Cricetulus griseus: one gene and its partners. The protein of the gene in region 3 binds, or shares a complex with, the protein of the main gene of each other region. Links are inferred from orthologs where the notes say so. Each region holds a gene or a part of one and is shown on either strand. Other genes may lie near its edges. The genes, in order: Ccnc, Med16 and Med13.

Evidence for each region.
Region 1: the proteins of Med13 (region 3) and Ccnc are in contact, whole or in part, in a cryo-EM structure (PDB 8TQC), measured with the Homo sapiens proteins. The link is inferred for Cricetulus griseus from reciprocal best matches to the Homo sapiens genes MED13 and CCNC. Residues at the interface, in NP_005112.2 of Homo sapiens: Tyr1342, Ser1630, His1631, Val1732, Lys1733, Thr1734, Thr1736, Phe1738, Gly1739, Pro1740, Gly1741, Ala1743, Arg1897, Met1898, Ile1901, Asp1905; in NP_005181.2 of Homo sapiens: Gln7, Gln13, Trp14, Leu16, Gln19, Lys23, Gln26, Lys27, Arg75, Tyr76, Glu144, Leu145, Asp147, Cys148, Ser221.
Region 2: Med13 (region 3) and Med16 share a complex: the UniProt entries of both Homo sapiens proteins name them as parts of the mediator complex. The link is inferred for Cricetulus griseus from reciprocal best matches to the Homo sapiens genes MED13 and MED16.

Annotation. Positions count from the first base shown.
Region 1 is NC_048595.1:119,719,839-119,727,268, forward strand, and holds the start of Ccnc (cyclin-C), read right to left. Parts: upstream 4,205-7,430; 5' UTR 4,039-4,204; coding exon 4,007-4,038; intron 3,012-4,006; exon of another isoform or gene 2,877-3,011; intron 1,722-2,876; coding exon 1,615-1,721; intron 613-1,614; coding exon 528-612; intron 365-527; coding exon 295-364; intron 1-294. UniProt on the Homo sapiens protein: Component of the Mediator complex, a coactivator involved in regulated gene transcription of nearly all RNA polymerase II-dependent genes.
Region 2 is NC_048598.1:100,699,171-100,706,120, reverse strand, and holds part of Med16 (mediator of RNA polymerase II transcription subunit 16), read left to right. Parts: coding exon 1-45; intron 46-212; coding exon 213-382; intron 383-2,507; coding exon 2,508-2,939; intron 2,940-3,405; coding exon 3,406-3,511; intron 3,512-5,506; coding exon 5,507-5,662; intron 5,663-6,322; coding exon 6,323-6,531; intron 6,532-6,619; coding exon 6,620-6,826; intron 6,827-6,950. UniProt on the Homo sapiens protein: Component of the Mediator complex, a coactivator involved in the regulated transcription of nearly all RNA polymerase II-dependent genes.
Region 3 is NC_048600.1:99,545,473-99,552,422, reverse strand, and holds part of Med13 (mediator of RNA polymerase II transcription subunit 13), read left to right. Parts: intron 1-665; coding exon 666-756; intron 757-882; coding exon 883-1,097; intron 1,098-1,351; coding exon 1,352-1,548; intron 1,549-3,208; coding exon 3,209-4,125; intron 4,126-6,950. UniProt on the Homo sapiens protein: Component of the Mediator complex, a coactivator involved in the regulated transcription of nearly all RNA polymerase II-dependent genes.

The DNA of each region.
Region 1 (7,430 bases), on a different chromosome or scaffold from region 3:
AGAGTCAAGGTGTTCTCTCCCTGGCTCTGGTCTCAGATCAAGTCAAGGTCAAGGCCCTTTTACCCTATTGCTATATACTCTACAGTTATAGGATTAAACAAAAACTTATAGTCTCATTAAAGCATCTGATACATAGTAAGTGCCATATTTATTAAATATATAAAATTACTTGCAAGATGTATGTATTATCTTGTATAAATTACCCCTTAAGATTATCCATACAAAGGCAATATAAAAAAAGATTAACTGTACATAATATTATAGGTTGATGAAGAGCAAAAAATTGTTTTATACCTCTACTTTGGATGCCAGAAACACACATGTAGGAGCCATTAATACAGGATCTATACTTTTCAGAGAATACCTAAAACATGATTAGACAAGAGTTAAATTATGTCCATTTAGAAGACACACTGGGTAATCAGGCAATCATAATTCTATAGCAATCAAGTGACTTACTTATATATGGCATATGGAAATCAGAAGAGAACCTCAAACAGGCTAACAAAAAAATAAAACAGCCATACCTGGCATAGAACCTCTTGAAATAGACTGTAGCAGTAGCAATAACCTGTTGTCTTAATTTAAGATGTTCACCTAATGCTTGGATGACTAAAAGGGAAATAATAAAATTTTAATGTTTCACCTGGCACCATTATAGTAACATTAATAACATTAACTTTTAACAGTAATTTCTACATGTTAGAATTATGTCCACTCATAGCTAGGCACTCTCTGACACCCTCTGATCCACAGCTGCCTAAGACTTGCAAATATAGCAACATGCAAAACCAAGAAATAGAAACCACCTACAAGTTATCTTGCTATAAGGAAGTTGACTATCAAATATTCCTTTTAATACTTTTCAGATTATTTTCATAAAAAGTCCTAACTCTTGCAGAAGACCCAAGTTCCATTCCCAGCACCCACATGGTGGCTCACAATCATTTGTAACTCCAGTCCCTAGGGATCCAAGCCTCCTTGTCACTATATAACATATAGTGCACAGATACACATGCAGGCAAAATACCCATACATAAAAAAAAATAAAATTTATTTTAAAAAATACCAGGCAACAAAGCTATCCCAGCAGAGTAAAGGTCTCCTGACTAAACCCCCTTCTTTTTTTTTTGTTTTTTGTTTTTTGTTTTTTGTTTTTAGAGACAGGGTTTCTTTATGGCTTTGGAGGCTGTCCTGGAACTAGCTCTTATAGACCATACTGGTCTTGAACTCACAGAGATCCACCTGCCTCTGCCTCCCAAGTTCTGGGATTAAAGGCATTCACCACCACCACCCCGATTTAAACCCCCTTCTTCCTAATGTAAAATTATAAGGTAAAAATGACAACTACAGGATGCCAATTTAAAGAATTACTTATTTTTACTTTGTCTTAACCAACCTTAAAAGAGGCCGCACTAGAAATACCCAAGGACATTAGCTAACACTGTGCTTCCAACACATAAAGTGCAAAAAGTGTTACCAAGCACACTAAAACGATAAATGTATAAATAAGAACATTAACTATAGACTGCAATAATCCATTGAAAATTACCACAAACAAGTCTCAAAGGTGACCAGCTATACTATACTACTTCAACCAACTTAAAATTGTACCATTTGTAAAAAATATTTGTAACTTCCAATACTCTTCTTCTGAGAGAAATTTTAAGTCCTTCTGGCGCTCTTTCAACAGATCTTGTTTATCCAAAATCCACTGCAAACTGGAAAAAGTAAAGAAGATAATAAAACACAGTGTAGAACGCCAACAAGCAAAAGCACCTAAAACTTTTTAAGATTTAACAAGCTGATCTATTCTAAGAAGTACATTCCTTTTTTTCTCCTCTGAGACAGGGTTTCTCTTGTAGTCATGGCTGTCCTGGAACTCACTTCTGTAGACCAGGCTGGCTTCACATTCAGAGATCCACCTGCCAACAACACCTCACCCCCATCACTGCTAGGTTTAAAGGCATGTGGTAACATACCCAGCTTCTTCTTCTTTGGAGGTACATCCGTAAAAGACAATGTCTGGATAGAAATATATCAGAGGTAGACAAAGCACTAGCCTATCTCTGAAATACACACACACACACACACACACACACACACACACACACACACACTCACTCACACACACACACACACACACACACACACACACACACACACACACACACTCTTAGCATTAATTCTTCTAAATAGGTCTCTAAAATATTGAGTAAATTATATAAAACAATGAAAATCTTGAGTCCTTCAACACATGTTCACCCATTTTAAGCAGATTCTGCCTCAGAGGAAAATAAATATTTTTCTAATGAGATTTTTTTTTTCAACCAGAATTTTCACTATCATCCCTCAAGTTTCACAGTCTTGTCGACAAACCAATTTAATCCCTTTGGTTCTTGACACTACTTGTTGACTGTTTTGCTGACTATCTTCAAATAATTCTGTGTCAGTTTGCTGTGTTTGACTCTCATTCAGTCTGGTCACTAAATAAGGATGTCATTTTAAACTCTCAGGGGAGTCACTCATATGATTTCTCTAGCTTTTCAGCAGCTCACCTACAGTCTCAGCAGGAAAAAATAGGAGAACTTGAGGGCAAAGAATTGGCTTTAATCCCAGCACTCTGGAGACAGAGGCAGGCGGATCTCTGTGAGTTAGAGACAAGTCTTGTCTACAAGAGCTAGTTCCAGGACTTGGGCGCGCGCGGGGGGGGGGGGGGGAGGATATGTCTCTTGATGTTTTTCAAAGGCTCTCTACTTTTTTCCAGACTTCTTTCATACTGTCATTTGTACAAAGAGCCAGCACACTGGTTCTCGAAACCCTTGATACAAAGGCCCTTCCTCAAAGATAGATTCTTACTATACCCAAAGACTTACTGTCTGTTCCAGTATTACGTCACTGAGACAGACGATGAAGGCAGTCCAAGTGCCAGAATTACAGGCTCCAACTTAATTCCGCCTTTTTGAGTCATCTCCTTCTGTATTTCAACTTCATCTAAAACATCTCAGTGACTGTAAACAACCAGAAATACTATGTCGCATAGTGATGCTCCACGAGCAGCTCATCTCCCTAAAATCACTTTGTAGCAAGAGAAAACATGCTTTCCAGAAACAGGTTTACAAACTCACTGTTTCCTTCTTCCCCGTTCTTGGGGTAAAGAGGAAAAGGAGCCAATCCAATTCACAGAACTAAAATTTCGTTAGTTTCTTCACCCTAAGATTTACTTAAGCTACGATGTCTTGTATTAAGTCCCGTTCAGTTTTTAAGTATTCAGTGAAAAACCTGCTCAAAGCTTAGCCAGATCACACAACCTCGCTGCACGTTTAACCAATGCATTTAGAGAGAAATGTCTCAAATATTACTTTAGCCCTTCCATGACCACTGACAGGCAGGCACCCGAATTCACTCATTTAAATGGTTCAAGGAATAGATAAAACCTGAGAAATACACACTTTTAACGCAAAACAGAAGACACTGGCTAATGAATGAAAATGCATACATGTTGAGAGCAACTGCGCTCTCTATATTCTAGGGGCATAAACGTCTACTGAGAAGCCGGGAAGTGGTGGCGCACGACTCAGGAGGAAGAGGCAGGGGCAAACAAACCAACAAACCAAAAACCGGATCGACAATCTAGGCAATATTAGATCTGCAAGTAAGGCGAATGACAAGAGATTGTAACGTCTTTGCTCTCAACAAGACCTAGCAAAAGCAACCCATACCCGTCCGAACAGGCTACAACGTGCCTGTGCCCACATCATCCCACTCACAGCTAACCCCCAAATACAAACTGAAACAGCCTCAGTCTTCCGTCGGACACCTGTCCTCTCGCCCATCCTTCAGGCTCACCCAGCCCCCGAGGCTCCGAGGCCCGCCAACAAGCTCGCCTAGCTTCCCCGGGAGGGCTCGCCCACACTCCAAGATCCGCAGGCCCTAGGGAGTCGCAGGCCCAGTCCTCCCCGGGCCCCAGAACCAGTCCCGCGGGAGCAAACGGAAGCTCACTCACTAGTGGGAGCTCTGCCAGAAGTTCCCTGCCATGGAATACTGCGGGCCCTGATACAAAAGCACCAGCCAGCAGAGCGGCCCACGGAGCCACCATAGACCCAGTCCAGCCGGGCGCGCTCCTCAACCAGGCTGGCTGGGCTGAGCTCCGCAGCGACCGCCGCCGGAGGAAGAGAACAGCGCCGTCGTCGCCTAGACGCCGGTCCGCAACACGGAATTGCGTACACCGGTTCCGGATGACAAAAGTTCCGGCCCGCCTTAGCGCCGGAGAAAGCGAGCAGACAGACACGAGAGAGGCCGGAGGCCGGAGACCGGAACTAGAGCAAGCAGAGGCGGAAGCTCGCGGTGGAGAGCCGCTCTCCCGAGAGCTCCGCCCTAGAGCAGGCACCTTCTGGATTTCTGCTGCTTTGCAGTTTTTCTTCTGGATCCGTCTAGGCATCTTGCTAACCCACCTAGAATAGTACTGTGGCATTGTAAGAAAGCGTAACATATGTGTGATTGCTCGTTTTCCTAGCATTGGAAGGAGAAATAGATTTAAGCGCTCTTAGTGACTTCTGCCGGAGCTGAGCCTAACGAGTTAATGGGTTTTCGTGTGGACATTTTAGAATAGCAGCAATCTTTTAATGTCAGAGCCATCGTTTGTCCACCTGAAAACATATGGGCGTATGAATACACATCTAGCCACACGGATGCACATGCATGCCCCAAAATTGAAATACTACAGAAATGCAATAATTTAGTTTTACAGAACGAGCAATAGCGAGTTTCTATTATTGTAACATGCACTCAGTACCTCACTTCAGTGGCTGAGGCAGGGACAGTAGGAATTTCAGGTCAGTCCTTGTTTCCTGCCTCCAGAATGCCAGGATTAAAGGCGTGTGCCACCATGCCGGGGCCTACTCTTAGCTTCTATTACATAAGAAAGCCTAAATTACAGTACAGATGAAAAAGAACTTGGTTTTAGTTAACACGGTGCTGTCTTGATATGAGAAAGAACTTCTCTGTCTGACCACTAGCTCCTGATACATAAAACAGTTATCTCTGCAGTGACCGATGATTGTGTTGATTTACAGTACTAGTTCATACAGTTTGGGGGGAATTTCAGGGTTCACTTTTTGGATTCAGTTAGTTGGGAATGGCTGTTGAAGAACAAAATATGTATCAATAAAAAATGTTAGGAGAGGCTAGACAGATGGCTCAGAAGTTGAGTGTGTTTGTGGCTCTGTCAGAAGACTAGAGTTAGTTCCCAGCACACACATCAGGTGGCTTATAACCACCTGCTGCAATGGCCAGCCCCAGGGGATCAACAATTTCTAGCCGCCATGGGTAGCTGCATGTACTGTGCATGTCTACACACACACACACACACACACACACACACACCTTTAAATTTTATTTTTAATTGAAATTTAATTATATTACATCATTTCTCTCCTTCCTCTTCCCCCTCCTTGAGTGGATTGACAGTCTGGTTAGTTCCGACCCCTATGTAGTATGGGGGTCAGGGGTCTAAGCATAACCAGCAATCCTGGCCAGTTTCTAACTGGGATTAACTTGAGAGGTGGGACTCTGGCCCAGGTATGTTAAATGCTTTTGAAGGGGAGAGGTGGTTGGAGCCTTAGCCCACGAAGGAGATCTTTGTTGAGACCCAAAGTTCTGGGAGCCTGGGGGGCGGGCAGTTTTTTTCTGGATAGTAATTCTATATCCAGAGTCCTTTCCTGTGGCATAGAGTCATCAGGTTCTCCCTATTTCCCAAAGCCGGAATATTTAAGGAATTCTTTAGACCTTTATCTTATGGCCATTAGATTACATTTTCCTATTGTGCATTCCTTGGAGGGGGGCGTCGTGTGTGTGTGTGTGTGTGTGTGTGTGTGTGTGTGTGTGTGTGTGTGTGAGTGTGTGTGTGAGTGTGTGTGTGTGTGTGTGTGTGTGTTTGTGTTTATCGGTTTGTTTTCAGGAAGCCTCTGTTTTACAATCCCAATTATTTATTTATTTTTATATATTTGAATTACAAACAAGATTGAATTACATGACGATCCCAGTTCCCTTCTCCCTCCCTTCCTCCTCTACCACCCCACCCCCAACTAAAATCCTACCTGTCATATGTCCTTTCTTCTAATCTACACCTGACTCAAAATTTCTGCTTCCTTGTGACCTCTGCATCCTTCCTTTTCTTCCCTTCTCACTCTCGTAGCTTCCTCCCCCCTCTTCCCATGTTCTCAATTTGCTCAGGGCACAATCCCAATTTTTTACAATGGACACTCCCTTGTCTTTGTTGATTAGTGGGCTTAGCCACAGGGAATGCATAGAATTGTAAACTCTGTATTTTTAATCTCAAAAGATAAGTGCCCACATCTTTCCTTTCCTTAATACAACCAGACATTTAAAATGGGCATCAGTGAGTAAAGTTCTAGATGAATATGAGTTGCTTGTCTGTAATCTTGATACCCATCACCTGTCTGTACTGCAGCCTGTGTGAGAGACTGCAGGAACCTGCCATGTGGCTTAGCTCATGGCTCGATGGCAGCTTCCAGGAGACACAACGAACAGCCAACAGGAGAGACTAGAAAGCTGTGTTTGATACCATTTGTGTGTGTTTAGAATGTTTTAAAAGCTTTTTCAGGTCTTATATGGATGTAGGTGCCAGATGTTGGGTGCCATATTTGGAGACACTCTATTTGGCATCCTTATCTGTGGCTTCTGCTTTCTTAATCTGGGTGTGGCAGATCCATGGTATAATGGCAGCTACCTTCCATTTCATGTTGTTCCCAGCACTCCTTTGGATAGCCGCTACCAGACAACATCACCAGACTTGAACAAGAGGAAACTGGTGGTAGATTCAGAGATTGGTTGGGTCTCTCAATACAATGAACAAAGAGCCTTTATGGAGGACTGGAGGGCCTGTAGTGACTCGAATAGCTAGAGAGTTCTGCCAACTGTTGGTCTCTGAGCTGGGGAAACAGTGGGGGAGGTCTTCCAAATGTAATCTCATTAGGCAAATCCCTCCCTGTATGGGAAGCAGCAGCCACAAAGCAAAACAATAGAATGAAGTCTATCCATCCTTTGCTGGACTCAGAGAGTTTTGTTAGGGCTTTGTTGGTTTTTGACATCCTGTTCATTATTTTTACCAGTCCAGAATTCTGAGGTCATATGCACAATGAGGTTTTCAATCTATGCCTAATGTTTTAGCTATTAATTTAGATGTTTTGACTATGGAAGCCAAGCCACTGTTGGAGTCCATTGCTAGGGGAAGGTCAAATGATTGGACCAGTTCCTGGAGGAACTTTTAAGGTACTATTTGAGCAGTGTCTTAGTTAGGACTAATACTGCTGTGGGAAGGAAAGGGTTTATTTGGCTTACATGTCTACATCATTGTTCATCACCAAAGGAAGTTGGGAACTCAACAGGAGATCCCTCTTTTCAGATAA
Region 2 (6,950 bases), on a different chromosome or scaffold from region 3:
CTGGCCACAGCGAGGCCATCACCTGCCTGGAATGGGACCAGTCAGGTGATGCCACGAAGTTCACTCTCATTCCAGAGCCCTGAGCAGCATGGGCTGCCTTCTTCAGTTCTCAGTCCTAAATCCAGAGTCACTGGGAGTCCAGAGTGTGGGGGCAGGGGGTGGCAGTCAACCTGCCCCTCAGGAGGGTTCCTGATGGCACTCTGTCACCACAGGCTCACGGCTCCTGTCAGCCGATGCTGACGGGCATATCAAATGTTGGAGCATGGCTGACCACTTGGCCAACAGCTGGGAGAGCTCAGTGGGAAGCCAGGTGGAGGGGGACTCCATCGTGGCGCTGTCCTGGCTGCACAACGGCGTGAAACTGGCCCTGCACGTGGAGAAGGTGAGGGGACTTACGTGTGGCGGAGTTGTGAGTGACCAACCTGTCTCTCCCTTGCCGCTGCCAGAATTCTCTGTCATGTGCCAGGCCTGTTTGCGTGGGATACCTGTCAGTAACTGCCATCCGTGAGCTCCTGTCCCCAAGAACATGCTTAACTACAGCTATTGTCCCCCTGAGCCTCCCCTTTCAGTGATGGGATGATGGTCCCTATAGAGTGACCCTGTTCCACAGGCAGCTGCATCCAATGGTGTCCTGTTTTACAGATGACTGCTATGTGGTCTTCAGACCCCACTCTACTGTGATTTAATGACGACCACAATTCCCCTATCCATGTGTATTCTGGAGTTCAACCAGTGAGGAGTGAGCACCAACAGACATCTGAGATGTCTGTTTCCTCGGAGGTAGATGCCTTTGAGGAAGGGGGCATGGCCAGGTCCTTGGGGACCAGCAGCTTCCACACACCTGCTGAGACCACGCCTACATGTGGCCACTCACCAGCTCCCACATCATGACATGGAGACCAATTAGTTATGAATGCTCTGCCTTAGCTTAGGCTTGTCCCACTAGCTTTTTTTGTTTGTTTGTTTTCTGGACAGGGTTTCTCTGTGGCTTTGGAGCCTATCCTGGAACTCGCTCTGTAGACCAGGCTGGTCTCCAACTCACAGAGATCTGCCTGCCTCTGCACCACACCACCACCACCATCTGGCTCCCACTAGCTTTTTTTTTTTTTTTAAGATTTTTATTTATTTATTATGCATACAACATTCTGCTTTCATGTATATCTGCACACCGGAAGAGGGCACCAGATCTCATAAGGGATGGTTGTGAGCCACCATGTGGTTGCTGGGAATTGAACTCAGGACCTCTGGAAGAGTAGTTGGTGCTCTTAACCTCTGAGCCATCTCTCCAGCCCTCCCACTAGCTCTTATAACTTATTTTAACCTGTTTCTCTTCATCTGTGTTTTGCCTCAGGGCTTTTTACATTTCTTTCATTCTGTATGTCCTACTTTTCTTGCTTCTCCTGTGTCTGGCTGGCCAACCCCAGGCATCTTTCTCTCTCTCTCTCTCTCTTTCTCTCTCTCTCTCTCTCTCTCTCTCTCTCTCTCTCATTTATTTATTTATTGGTTTTTCGAGACAGGGTTTCTCTGTGCAGCTTTGGAGCCTATCCTGGCACTCGCTCTGTAGACCATTCTGGCCTCGAACTCACAGAGATCCACCTGCCTCTGCCTCCTGAGTGCCGGGATTAAAGGTGTGCGCCACCAAAGCCCGGCTTATCGTCTCCTTCCTTTTCTCCCGAGTTCTCTCTTGTTCTTCCTTTTCCTCCTTATTGTCTCTGCCCACCAGCCCCACCTAGCCCTCTACTGTCTAGCAATTGACTATTTCAGCTTCTTATTCCGACAAATCAGCAGCCTTAGGCAGGCAATGCAAAACAAATGTAACACATCTTCACATAGTTAAACAAATGCAGCATAAACAAATGTAACACATTTTTATATAGTTAAAAAAAAAAGGCCGGACCTGGTGGCATTTACCAATCCCGGCACTGAGGAGGCAAATAGCTCTGAGCTTAAGGTCAGCCTGGTCTACATAGCCAGTCCCTGTCTAACCAGGACTAAACAGTGACACTTTGCCTCCCAAATTTAATGTAGGGCCTGGAGAGGTTGCTCAGTGGTTAGAGCACCGGCTGCCTCTGCCCTCTGCAGAGGACCTGGGTTACATCCCAGCATTCATATGCTGGCTCACAACCACGTGTAACTCCAGCTTCAAGGGATCCAACCCCTTCTTCTGACCTCCACAGACTTCTCACCCATGAGATGCACATATATACCTCCAGAGAAACCACTCAAACACTTTCCAGTTTTTTGAGACAGGCTTCCTCATTGTAGCCCTGGCTGTTCTGGAAATCACTCTGTAGACCAGGCTGGCCTCAAACTCAGAGAGGTTACAACAGAAAGTGAAGAACCAAGTTTAACCCCCTGAGAAGTACACGGCTTGTGCATTACTGTGCGCTAGAGAGGCCTCCTTCATGCAGTGCTCTTGCCGAATTGTTGCTCGGTGCTTGTGGGGCCATAGAAGGTGGACCCCAAGGAGCTGAGCAAACCCTTCCTTCTGTTTCCCTTTCCTGCAGTCGGGTGCTTCCAGCTTTGGGGAGAAGTTCTCCCGTGTGAAATTCTCTCCTTCACTCACGCTGTTTGGTGGCAAGCCCATGGAGGGCTGGATTGCGGTGACAGTTAGTGGCCTAGTGACTGTGTCCCTGCTGAAGCCGAGCGGGCAAGTGCTGACATCCACTGAGAGCCTGTGCCGGCTTCGAGGCCGAGTGGCACTTGCTGATATCGCCTTCACAGGCGGTGGGAACATTGTGGTGGCTGCTGCAGACGGTAGCAGCGCGTCACCCGTGAAATTCTACAAGGTGTGCGTGAGTGTGGTGAGCGAGAAGTGCCGAATAGATACTGAGATCCTGCCCTCCTTGTTCATGCGGTGCACCACCGACCCCAACCGAAAGGACAGGTTCCCCGCCATCACACACCTCAAGTTCCTGGCCCGAGACATGTCTGAGCAGGTAAGCATAGCTTCATCCCCAGCCCAGCTGGCCATGACTTGTCCTGAGATCAGAATCTGACAGGGACCTGGTCGGGCAGGAAAGGTCCTTCCTGGTGGCCCAGCCATGCCAGCATTCAGAGGCCCTGCACCCCTTGGCTTGTGGCTCCTTCATCCACCTTCAAAGCTGACATGGTGTCTCCCATTCTCCCTGCCTCTCACCATCCTACCTCACAACCCCACAGTGAAACCAGGCTCTGGATGGTCCAGGCAAATCCTCAGCTTGAGTCCCTCTCCTGAGTCCCCTGACCTGTCTTTGGGGCTGTCATCCCACTGGTTACGGGTCACCTGGGTTCTCACTGTGTGAATTCATGAGGCCCTGTGCCTCCTGGCATATCTTGTAGACCCATCCCTGGAGGATGCAAATGAGGCACCCGTGGTAGGGGCCCTGGGGTCAGCCCCCACTCCTCACTGAACCCCACCCCCAGGTGCTCCTATGTGCCTCCAGCCAGACCAGCAGCCTGGTGGAGTGCTGGTCCCTGCGGAAGGAGGGCCTGCCTGTGAACAACATCTTCCAGCAGATCTCTCCTGTGGGTGAGTCAGCCAGGGTTCGTGAGCCACCAGGGTCCATTAGCTCATGGGATTTGAGGTTTATATGGGACAGGGTCTCTCTCTGTGTGTCCCTGGCTGGCCTGTAATGTTCAGTACCACACCTGCCTCTGCCTACTGAGCCCCAGGCTCTTCTCAGATTAATTTCCAAAGTCCCAGGAGGCTGTTGGCTTCCTGGCTAGAGTGGGATACTAAGGTTCCCTAGGCAGGACAGCCTGGAAACCCCGGGATTGAGGAAATGCCCTGTACAAAGGTCCTGCAGCTGGAGCAGAGAAAAAGGGCTGAGCTGTCAAGAGGGCATGCACAGCCACATCTACTTTTAAATCTACTTTAAAAGCCACAGAGTCTTCTAGAAATCCCAGTGCAGAGTGCAGTCTGCTGGCTTTACCAGCCCATCTCTGGAGAGCACCTCCTGTAACCCTCTTGCTCTCCTAGACCCCCACCTTCCTTCCCTGAGCCTGCCCTGCAACAGCCTGGCTCAGAAAGGAAAGTGTGATGGGAGGTGGGAGAGTTAATGGACCCCGGTGGCTTAAAAGGTGGCTTAGAGGACTTAATTGGCGGCCCTAATGAAGTTGTGTCAAGAGGCCACTCAACTCACTGCAGTTACATAAACTGCCTGTTGTGGCCATCGAGTAATTAAATGTGAATAGCATCCCCACTGTGCTTCCTGCAGATGTCTGGGCTCGAAGGCTGGCCTGGCTGGCTGGCAGCACCTGCCACACATGCCCACTGGCCCTTCTGTGCACATGCTGCCTGCTGTGTGCCTGGTCCGGGGTGAACACACCAGCCAGGGCCCAGTTCTCCAGCCCAGTGGGTGGTGCCTGGTAGGGAAGCCAAGGCATGGTGACCATGGTGACAGGAGCTGGCTGTGGTCAAGGCAGGGATGTGACCAAGAGGCCCTGGATACCAGCCGCTAGGTTCCATTGCCCACTGACTTGTGGATCTTTTTTGTTTGATTTTTTTTTTTTTTTTTTTTTTTTTCGAGACAGGATTTCCCTGTGGCTTTGAAGGCTGTCCTAGAACTAGCTCTTGTAGACCAGGCTGGTCTTGAACTCACAGAAATCCGCCTGCCTCTGCCTCCCTAGTGCTGGGACTAAAGGCGTGCGCCACCACCACCCGGCATTTGTTTGAATTTTAAAAGTCCTGTACCCTATAGCCCCAACCCTATCTAGCGTCAGACTCTCAGTGGTCCTCCTACCCCTGCCTCTCCAGAGCTGGTAAGACTGGCATGCACCACTCATCTGTCTCCACCTCTGCTTCTTATGCCCCTTGTGAGAGAACACCCTTCACCACAAGGAGTCCTGACTGCTCCAAACAGTTGGCTGTAGCCATTCTGGCCTCAGTTTCCCCTTGGGAGTGACACTTGCTGGTGCTCCCTGTGGGGTCAGGACTGGTTTCAAAGATGGGGACTGACATACAGATAACCAGTCTCAGACTGGAGGGGGGGTGTGGCGGTGGCGGCAGTGCATGCCTTTAATCCCAGCAGAGGCAGAGGCTGTGGGTCTTTGTAAGTTCAAGGTCAGCCTGATCTACAGAGTGAGTTCCAGGACAGGCTCCAAAAGCTATAGAGAAACCCTGTCTTGAAAAACAAAACAAAAACACAAATAACTGGTCTTAGAGGGGCTGGGCTCCATCCCCAGCAGGTAATGAACTGGGCATAGTGGGGAATACCAGCACCAAAGAGGTGGAGCCAGGAGGGTAAGAGTTCAAGTCTAGCCTGGGCTTCATAGAGGTTTCAAGCCAGTGTGGGGTACATGAGACCCTGTTTCAAAACAGACAAGAAAAATCCTTGGACTGGATCCTACTGGTCCTCAGGTCAGGTAACACCCTCAGGCCAACTGGCTGGAGGAGGAGAAGTGCTCTGATTGACTATGCCTAGTCCTCTTCCCAAATCGGGACAGGAGTGGCCCTGCTACCCTGAGGTGGACTTCTCTCTGTACCCCTCCCACACCCCTTTCTTTTCCTGACCCAATTGACCAGTTGGCGACAAACAGCCCATGATCCTCAAGTGGCGGATCCTGTCAGCCACCAATGACCTGGACCGTGTATCAGCTGTGGCACTGCCCAAACTTCCCATCTCACTCACCAACACAGACCTCAAGGTGGCCAGTGAAACCCAGTTCTATCCTGGCCTCGGTATGTTGCACCCAGGAGCAACCAGCACAGCACCTGGATGTGTGGGGTGGGAAGTGGACTGTGAGTGCTGTGGGTTCCCAGTCTCATGTGATGAATGTGGACTGTCCCCCAGAACCAAGGGTCCTGAAAGTTGCCAAATAGCTGTGCTCCTAAATATGTAAAGACCTGTGGCTAGTTAACACAAAGCTGCATTCCTTAATATGTAGAGTTGTAGCTGATTAACAAAATGTTACAGTCCTTAAGATGTGTGCAGCTGTAACCAGTTAGTAGAAAGCTGTGCTCAATATGTAAAGAGCTGTGGCTAACGGACAGAGAGTTGGGACGATGGGGTGAAGAAACCCTTTTGCAGAGCAGACACATAATCACAAAAGTATATATGTATCATCCAGGGTTCGACTCCCTTAAGTCCCTGCCTGTAAGTCAGTCAGGTGCCTTCTCAGCTGCTCAGCTGTGAGGTGGGATTGCCTCTAGGTTTCTAGGTCTTTATTTTCCTGGCTCACTCCTATATGATGGGGAGAATGCATTAAAGGTGGGGGCAGTGGCTGAGCCTGAGGAGGACCCTGGGACAGAGCTTGGGGCTCTCTGGATCTTGAGGTCACTAAGGGAGACAGAGAGAGCAGCACTGCTCAGCCTGCCCTGACTGCACTCCCCTCCTCCCAGGCTTGGTGCTGGCCTTCCAGGATGGCAGCGTGCAAATGGTACATCGACTGTCACTGCAGACTATGGCGGCTTTCTACAGTTCAACCCCACGCTCACTGGATGAGCCCACCCTGAAGCGTCCACGCACCACAGGCCCAGCTGTACACTTCAAAGCTATGCAGCTGTCCTGGACATCACTGGCCCTGGTGGGCATTGACAACCATGGGAAGGTGAGTGCCCAGACCGACCAGGAGGGCAGAGGAGCGGTTGGGGAGAGGTTTTGGTGAGCAGCAGTCCCTCAGCACAGCCTCCCCCCAGCTCAGCATGCTGCGAATCTCTCCATCCCTGGGCCACCCACTGGAGCCCAAGCTGGCTCTACAGCACCTGCTGTTCCTGCTGGAGTACTGCATGGTGACCGGCTATGACTGGTGGGACATCCTGTTGCATGTGCAGCCCGGCATGGTGCAGAGCCTGGTGGAGCGGCTGCATGAGGAATACACTCGCCAGAAGCCCGCCCTGCAGCAGGTAGGGCTCAAACTTAGTGCGGGGGGTGGGGGGTCATATGTGGATGAACAGGGCTCCCACACAAAAGAAAATGTCCCTCTTACTGCCAAGGAGAGTGATCTGCCCCTCCCCTCTGTGGCATTGT
Region 3 (6,950 bases):
ATCAGGGTTTCAAACTTAGCTTTGTTTATATAAAAATGAGAAAGCAGCTTAGGTGACATGAGGCCCTATTTTTAAAAACAAAACAAAGAAAACTACCCCACCTCCCCCCCACCAAAACAAACAAACAAACAAAATCTCACAAAAAAATTGGTTATCGAGGAAGACACTAAAATTTGGTTTGTTAGGAATTTTGTTGCCTTGTTAGGAAGTCTCCCTGAGTCATAAAAAAGCTATTCCTATAAATATATTTTTACAGCTTTTTAAAAACAAGGTTTAAATATAAAGAAGAATTAAGAGGAGTTATTGATTATATAGGAAATTTTAATACCTTAAATAAAGGGACAGATACTTTGAGTCTCTTTTGCTAAACTGGAATTACAGTTTTAATTTAAAATCTCTTATCTTTTATTGGTTCATAAGTTACTGGTTATTTTTGCTTTTTTTATGTTTTCTTGAGTATACTTTTTTTCCTGTTAATTGAGAGACTTATCAAAAAAATCTTAAGTGATGGATCTATCTGTAAACTAGTATGTTATTTGGCTCTGGTCATAAAATTCAGAAGACCACTTTTTATGATCACTATTTATCTTTTCAGTTACATATGAATGATTAGTACTGTGGGATCACATTGGCTTTTTTTTTTTTTTTTTTTTCCTTCCTGATAGCCTGGATCTAAAAAATCAGCATCTGGATCAGATGATAAAGCCAGCTCCAAAGAATCCAAGACAGGAAGTCTGGATCCATTATCTTGCATAAGTAAGCTTTACAGATCTGTGCTTTAGCTCAATTTGAAAACTCACTCCCCCAGAAAATTCCCTTTGGTTTAAACACAGATTCACTTCTTTTTAGTCTATGTTAAAATGTGTGTTTCATTAAATATAGGCACTGCAGATCTTCACAAGATGTATCCTACACCACCATCATTGGAACAACACATTATGGGATTTTCTCCAATGAATATGAATAATAAAGAATATGGTAGTATGGATACAGCACCTGGAGGAACTGTCCTAGAAGGAAATAGTTCTAGTATAGGAGCACAGTTCAGAATTGAGGTTGAGGAGGGATTCTGTAGCCCCAAACCTTCTGAAATTAAAGTAAGTATTTTTCCAAACAATTAATTCCCTTCCTGTGTTTTCTTATAGGATTAATTGCTGTATTCAAGAGATTTTTTTTCACATTTGATTTTAGCTTTGTGGCTAATATGAGAACTAAATTGTGGGAATACTATGTAAAATGCAGTAAAAACAGAACAGAAAATATTTATACTTTGGTATGTTTAAAGAATAGGGTAAAGAAGACAGTCACTTTGAACATAAGGCACTGAAAGTCTACATTCTTTATATTGTAGGATTTTTCTTATGTCTATAAACCTGAAAATTGTCAAGTTCTAGTAGGATGTTCCATGTTTGCACCTTTAAAAACTCTACCAAGCCATTGTCTGCCTCCTATCAAATTGCCAGAAGAGTGTATTTACCGGCAGAGCTGGACTGTTGGAAAATTGGACTTGCTTCCTTCAGGCCCTTCAATGCCATTCATCAAAGAGGGGTATGGTTGATGTTGTTTTTATAATACTGAATGCTTGTAAAAGTTGTTTTTGTGTATCTGTTAGAGGGATAGCATTGTAGGGTGTGCATGCCTATGAGCCACATGTGAAGGCCAAAGGGAAGTAAACATTGGGTTTCTTCATCTATTGCCCCTTTACTCATTTGAGGCATGGTTTCTCATTGAACCTGAAACTTGCTGTTCTGTCTGGGCTGACAGGCCAGCAATCTTCTGGAATCTGCCTATCTTTGTCTCCCAAATGCTGGGATTACAGCTTGCTCAGCCATACCCAAGGTCTATCCATTTTTTTTGTTGAAGTACCAGGTATGCTGGAAAAAGATGTGTTTTTATGTATAAATAAAAAATAAAATAATAATTCTTGTTTATTATAATGATAATAATAGACATGGATAAACTATTTGAAACCATAGACCTTTTTTTGACTTTAAAAGTACTTTTTCTTTTTGTTTGCAATACTGAGTTGTTCCCATTTTTTGTATCTGTCATTTTACATTTACTTCACATTGTAACAGATAAAATTTAGCATTTTGTTACCAGTTGCGTATTAAAATTACTATCGCCACTTTGTACACATAAACAACTCAAAAGACAGAATTGTTGCTGGCAGTTTTCTTTGTCCCGCCTCTTCAGCCCCAAATAAGCACACACAGACTTATATTAATTATTAAACTGTTGGCTGATTGTTTGGGCTTCTTATTGGCTATCTCTCTCTTAATTGTTAACCCATTTCTATTAATCTATGTATTTCTCCATGGCCTTATCTTACCAGAGAATGGTCAGACCTGTTACTACTTTTGGCGTCTACATAGTGTCTGTTTCTGGCAGGCTCCCTCTGCCTACCTTTCCCAGAATTCTCCTCATCTGATAGTCCCGCCTATCTTCCTGTCTCATTGGCTGAACAGTGTTTTATTCATCAACCAATAAGAGAAACATATATACTGAAGGGCGTCCCCCATCACAGAATTTTTTTTCAATTGTACATGCTTTATCTGCATGTACAACTTGATATCAGAAGAGGACATCAATCTCAACTGTACATGGTTGTGAGCTATGTGGTTGCTGGGAATTGAACTTGGGACCTCTGGAAGATCAACCAGTGCTCTTTAACCGCTGAGCCATCGAACCTAAGAATTTTTTTTTTTTTCTTGTCAATCAGCAGCAACAAGAGTCAATGAGATACAAGTATTTGTAGCATTAGAAATTTATAGAGTAAATATGGTTGTTTAGATGTGGATAACTTTATACAAACTTCATTTGTAATTTTTTGAGACTTTTAAAATTTTATATGTGTGTCCCAACATGACTTCATGTACACATGTGTGCAGGTGCCATGGAGGCCAGAGGACATCAGATCCCTTAGCATTGGAGTTACAGTCGCTTAGTTGTGGGCTGCCTGATGTGGGTGCTGGGAACTGAACTTCTGAACTTGGGTACCCTGTAAATCTAGTTAGCTTACAAGAATCTCCATAGTGAACATGATAAACCTGAAATAAGTCTTAGTTGTACATGTAATCTTCTAGTGATTGCCATATGGAAATTTTCAGTGTTTGCTGAAGAGCATTTGGAGAACTTTTAGTTGTATTTCACATTACTAATGTGTTCCTTTACGCACGTGTTTCTCTTTTTACCTTGGTGACAACAGTGATGGAAGCAATATGGATCAAGATTATGGCCCTGCCTACACACCTCAAACCCATACTTCTTTTGGGATGCCTCCGAGCAGTGCACCCCCTAGTAATGGTGGTGCGGGAATTCTCCCTTCTCCATCCACCCCTAGATTTCCAACTCCAAGGACTCCAAGGACTCCAAGGACTCCTCGTGGAGCTGGTGGACCTGCTAGTGCTCAAGGTTCAGTCAAGTATGAAAATTCAGACTTGTATTCACCAGCTTCCACCCCATCTACATGCAGACCCCTCAATTCTGTTGAACCTGCCACTGTCCCTTCCATCCCCGAAGCACACAGTCTTTATGTAAACCTCATCCTTTCAGAATCAGTTATGAATTTGTTTAAAGACTGTAATTTTGACAGTTGCTGTATTTGTGTTTGCAACATGAATATCAAGGGTGCCGATGTTGGAGTTTACATTCCAGATCCAACGCAGGAAGCACAGTATCGGTGTACCTGTGGCTTCAGTGCTGTCATGAACCGAAAATTTGGAAATAATTCAGGATTATTTCTTGAAGATGAACTTGATATCATAGGACGTAACACAGACTGTGGCAAAGAAGCAGAAAAACGTTTTGAGGCTCTCAGGGCTACCTCTGCAGAAAATGTTAATGGAGGCATAAAGGAATCTGAAAAGGTGCCTGATGAGTTGATATTACTGCTGCAAGATCAATGCACTAATTTATTTTCACCCTTTGGAGCAGCAGACCAAGATCCTTTTCCCAAAATGGGTATAATTAGCAACTGGGTACGTGTTGAAGAGCGGGACTGTTGCAATGACTGCTATCTTGCATTAGAACATGGACGTCAGTTCATGGATAATATGTCGGGAGGAAAGGTTGACGAAGCACTTGTCAAAAGCTCATGCTTGCATCCGTGGGCCAAACAAAATGGTAAGTTTGTGAATGAAGTCAGGTTTTTGTTTCGTTTTTTAGGTATTTGACTTTGACTTTTTTTTTCTGGGGGGTAAAAATATCAAAAGCAATTAGACCTAATAGGTGTGCCGAAATTTGGATTTAACCGTCATGTGAAGACAGTAACGTGCTGGGTGTGATGATGCATGAGTTTAATCCCACCAGAAGCAGGTGGATCTCTTGTTGGAGGCTAAGACTACATAAGGGACTCTGTGTCAGAGAAACAAACAGAAAACCCCAAAAAGACAGTAACATAGAGATTTCTTAGCTGTTTAGTTAAGTTTCAGCAATAAAAATAGGTTATTGTGCATCTGTAATTGTTTAGCCACATAAAAATTTAAAAGGCATGCTGCTTATTTGTTAGCAGAAAATTATTGTTTCCTTCAGCCATGTAATTTTGTCTTTTCAGGTGTCATATACTTTGCTATTTAGCTATGACTTGATTATATTATTAAATATTTACCAAGCACCTTGTTGTTCAACAGTGACCACTATTTTATGGTCACTGTTGAACAGACACACCATTCTCTGGCTTTTATTTTATTTTTTCTTTTTGGTTTGGTTTTTGCTTGTGTGTATGTGGGTGCATAATTACATGTGTTTGGGTTTACGTACATATATGTAGGCCAGATGATAGCCTTTGGTGTCAGGCCTCAGAAACCATCAGTCAGCCTTTTGGGCCCCACCACTGTTTGTTTGGATCAGGCTTCTCATTTCCAAGGCACTGATTGATTATGTCAGAATCTCCTTTCTTTTTGAGCCTATGGTTTAGTGGAGGAGATAGATAGTAAACAACAACAATACATGCTTGCATTATGTACTGGTTATAAGTGCATTAAAGAGAAATCAGTGCAAAACATGTTTGCATGGGAGAAACCTTATGTGCTGTTTAAGAAACATGGTCAGAGATGATAGCGAAGGTTAAGGAACATTTATGGAAAGTCCTGTTTGGAGTGGGAAAAGTGTGAACAATATAGTTAACTGGGGAAACAGTGCTAGTAGACAATGCAGTTCAAAGTCCTTGAGGACATAGTTTTCAGGATAAGTTTGAGAAACATAGGCAGTATTAATGTTGAGTGATGGTCAGACTGATTAGATGATGAAGCCTAAGAGTGTCTGAAACACCAAAATTATTTAATTTGTGTGTGAGCGTGTATGTGTTTGGGTATGTGTGCCATGGCATACATTTGGATGTCAGAGGACGACAGTTTGAGGGTGTTGGTTCTCTCCTTGTACCAACTCAACCCAGGGTTTGAACTCGGGTAGTTAAGCTTGGAAGTGGGCACTTTTTGAACCATGCTGTTAGAATTTATTGTAAATGCTGTAGCAACTATTTTTAATAGAAAAGTAGTCCCACACTGTCTTTTTTGCTTAAGAAAAAAAAATCACTGGCTATTGCATAAAAAATATCCTGGGACGGCAGGTGAAAGTACAAGAAGAAAAATTAGGGAGAAGCCAGTTACAGTAGTCAGTGAGGATGACAGCTTGGAAAAGACTGAAAACAATAGAAGTTGTGGTAGTAGATTCCAGTTTAGATGGAAATATAGACCTACAGAATTGTGCTGATTCGTGTAAGAGAAGATGAAGCATTAACCATGGTTTGTATGAATGTTGGTGCTAACTACAGAGGAGGAAAATAGGAGGAGGTCAAGTACATATTTGGAGATAATAGTTTTAAATTCAGAAGACTGATGAATCTGGAAATGTCTTTTTTTTTTTTAATGTGGGTTATCAGTATTAAATACTATGGTATGTCATTTGTGGTGCACGTGTAATACCAGCACTGGGAAAGTGAAGGAAAGAATCAGAAATTCAAGGTCATATCTGGCTACATGGTAAGTTCAAGGCCACCCTGGGATATATGGGGCCCTTTTCTTTTAAAAGCCTGGAGCTGGATAAGAAATTTTAGGGGAGAGAGGGTCAGGAAGGAATCTGAGAAGAAGCCAGGAAGTAGGGTACTCATGTGTGAGAATATAGAATGAGAGTGAATATATGTATAATGTCTTTGTAAGGGAACAGGAACAGTGTGACAAGACCACTGAATGTGGCACCGTGGAGGTAGTTAAAGAACTTGATAATCATCTCTGTCAGCCTGATTAGCGTGGGTATGAGATTGAGAAACTAATTTAAAATTTGGGGAGACATTTGGTTTAAAATAGAAATTTTATGTTATGGTTAACATTATTATTAATATATACACATGTGTACATGCAGAATAATTCTATCTAGATGAAAAATTTAAATAGACAGTTTCATATATTTTTACCATGTATTCAGATATATTTCACATGAGTACAGTGTGGTACTTTGCTATATGGATACATTATAGAAATAATAAACCAAGCTGATTATCTTATTTAAAATCTTTTATCAGTTATAAAGTACAGAATACAATATTAGTAACTGTGCTCATCATGTTTCTAAATGGACCTCTAAAACTTACTCTTCCTACCTAACTGGAACCTCACTCCGTCTCTCTAGTCCAACCTTCCTCCATAGGAAGAATTATCACAGAACAAAAGGTACCCTTGTAGGAGCAAAGTCATTGAATAAGTGAGGAGTAATAGAGTCAATTCATTTCAGTTAGGTTATAGGAACATGTCTATCACAACAAGAAGAAATGTTATTTATTTGGACAAGAAGAGGGAACATGAACATTTGTAGTGATTGCTTTTGTAGTTATGGATGAAAGCAACTGGAGTTAGTGACAGCGTCATTTGATACTCCTGTCTAATTTCCCATACCAGCAGCTTCAGACATTACCACATATTTAGAAATGTACATTTTCACACTCTGTCCATGAT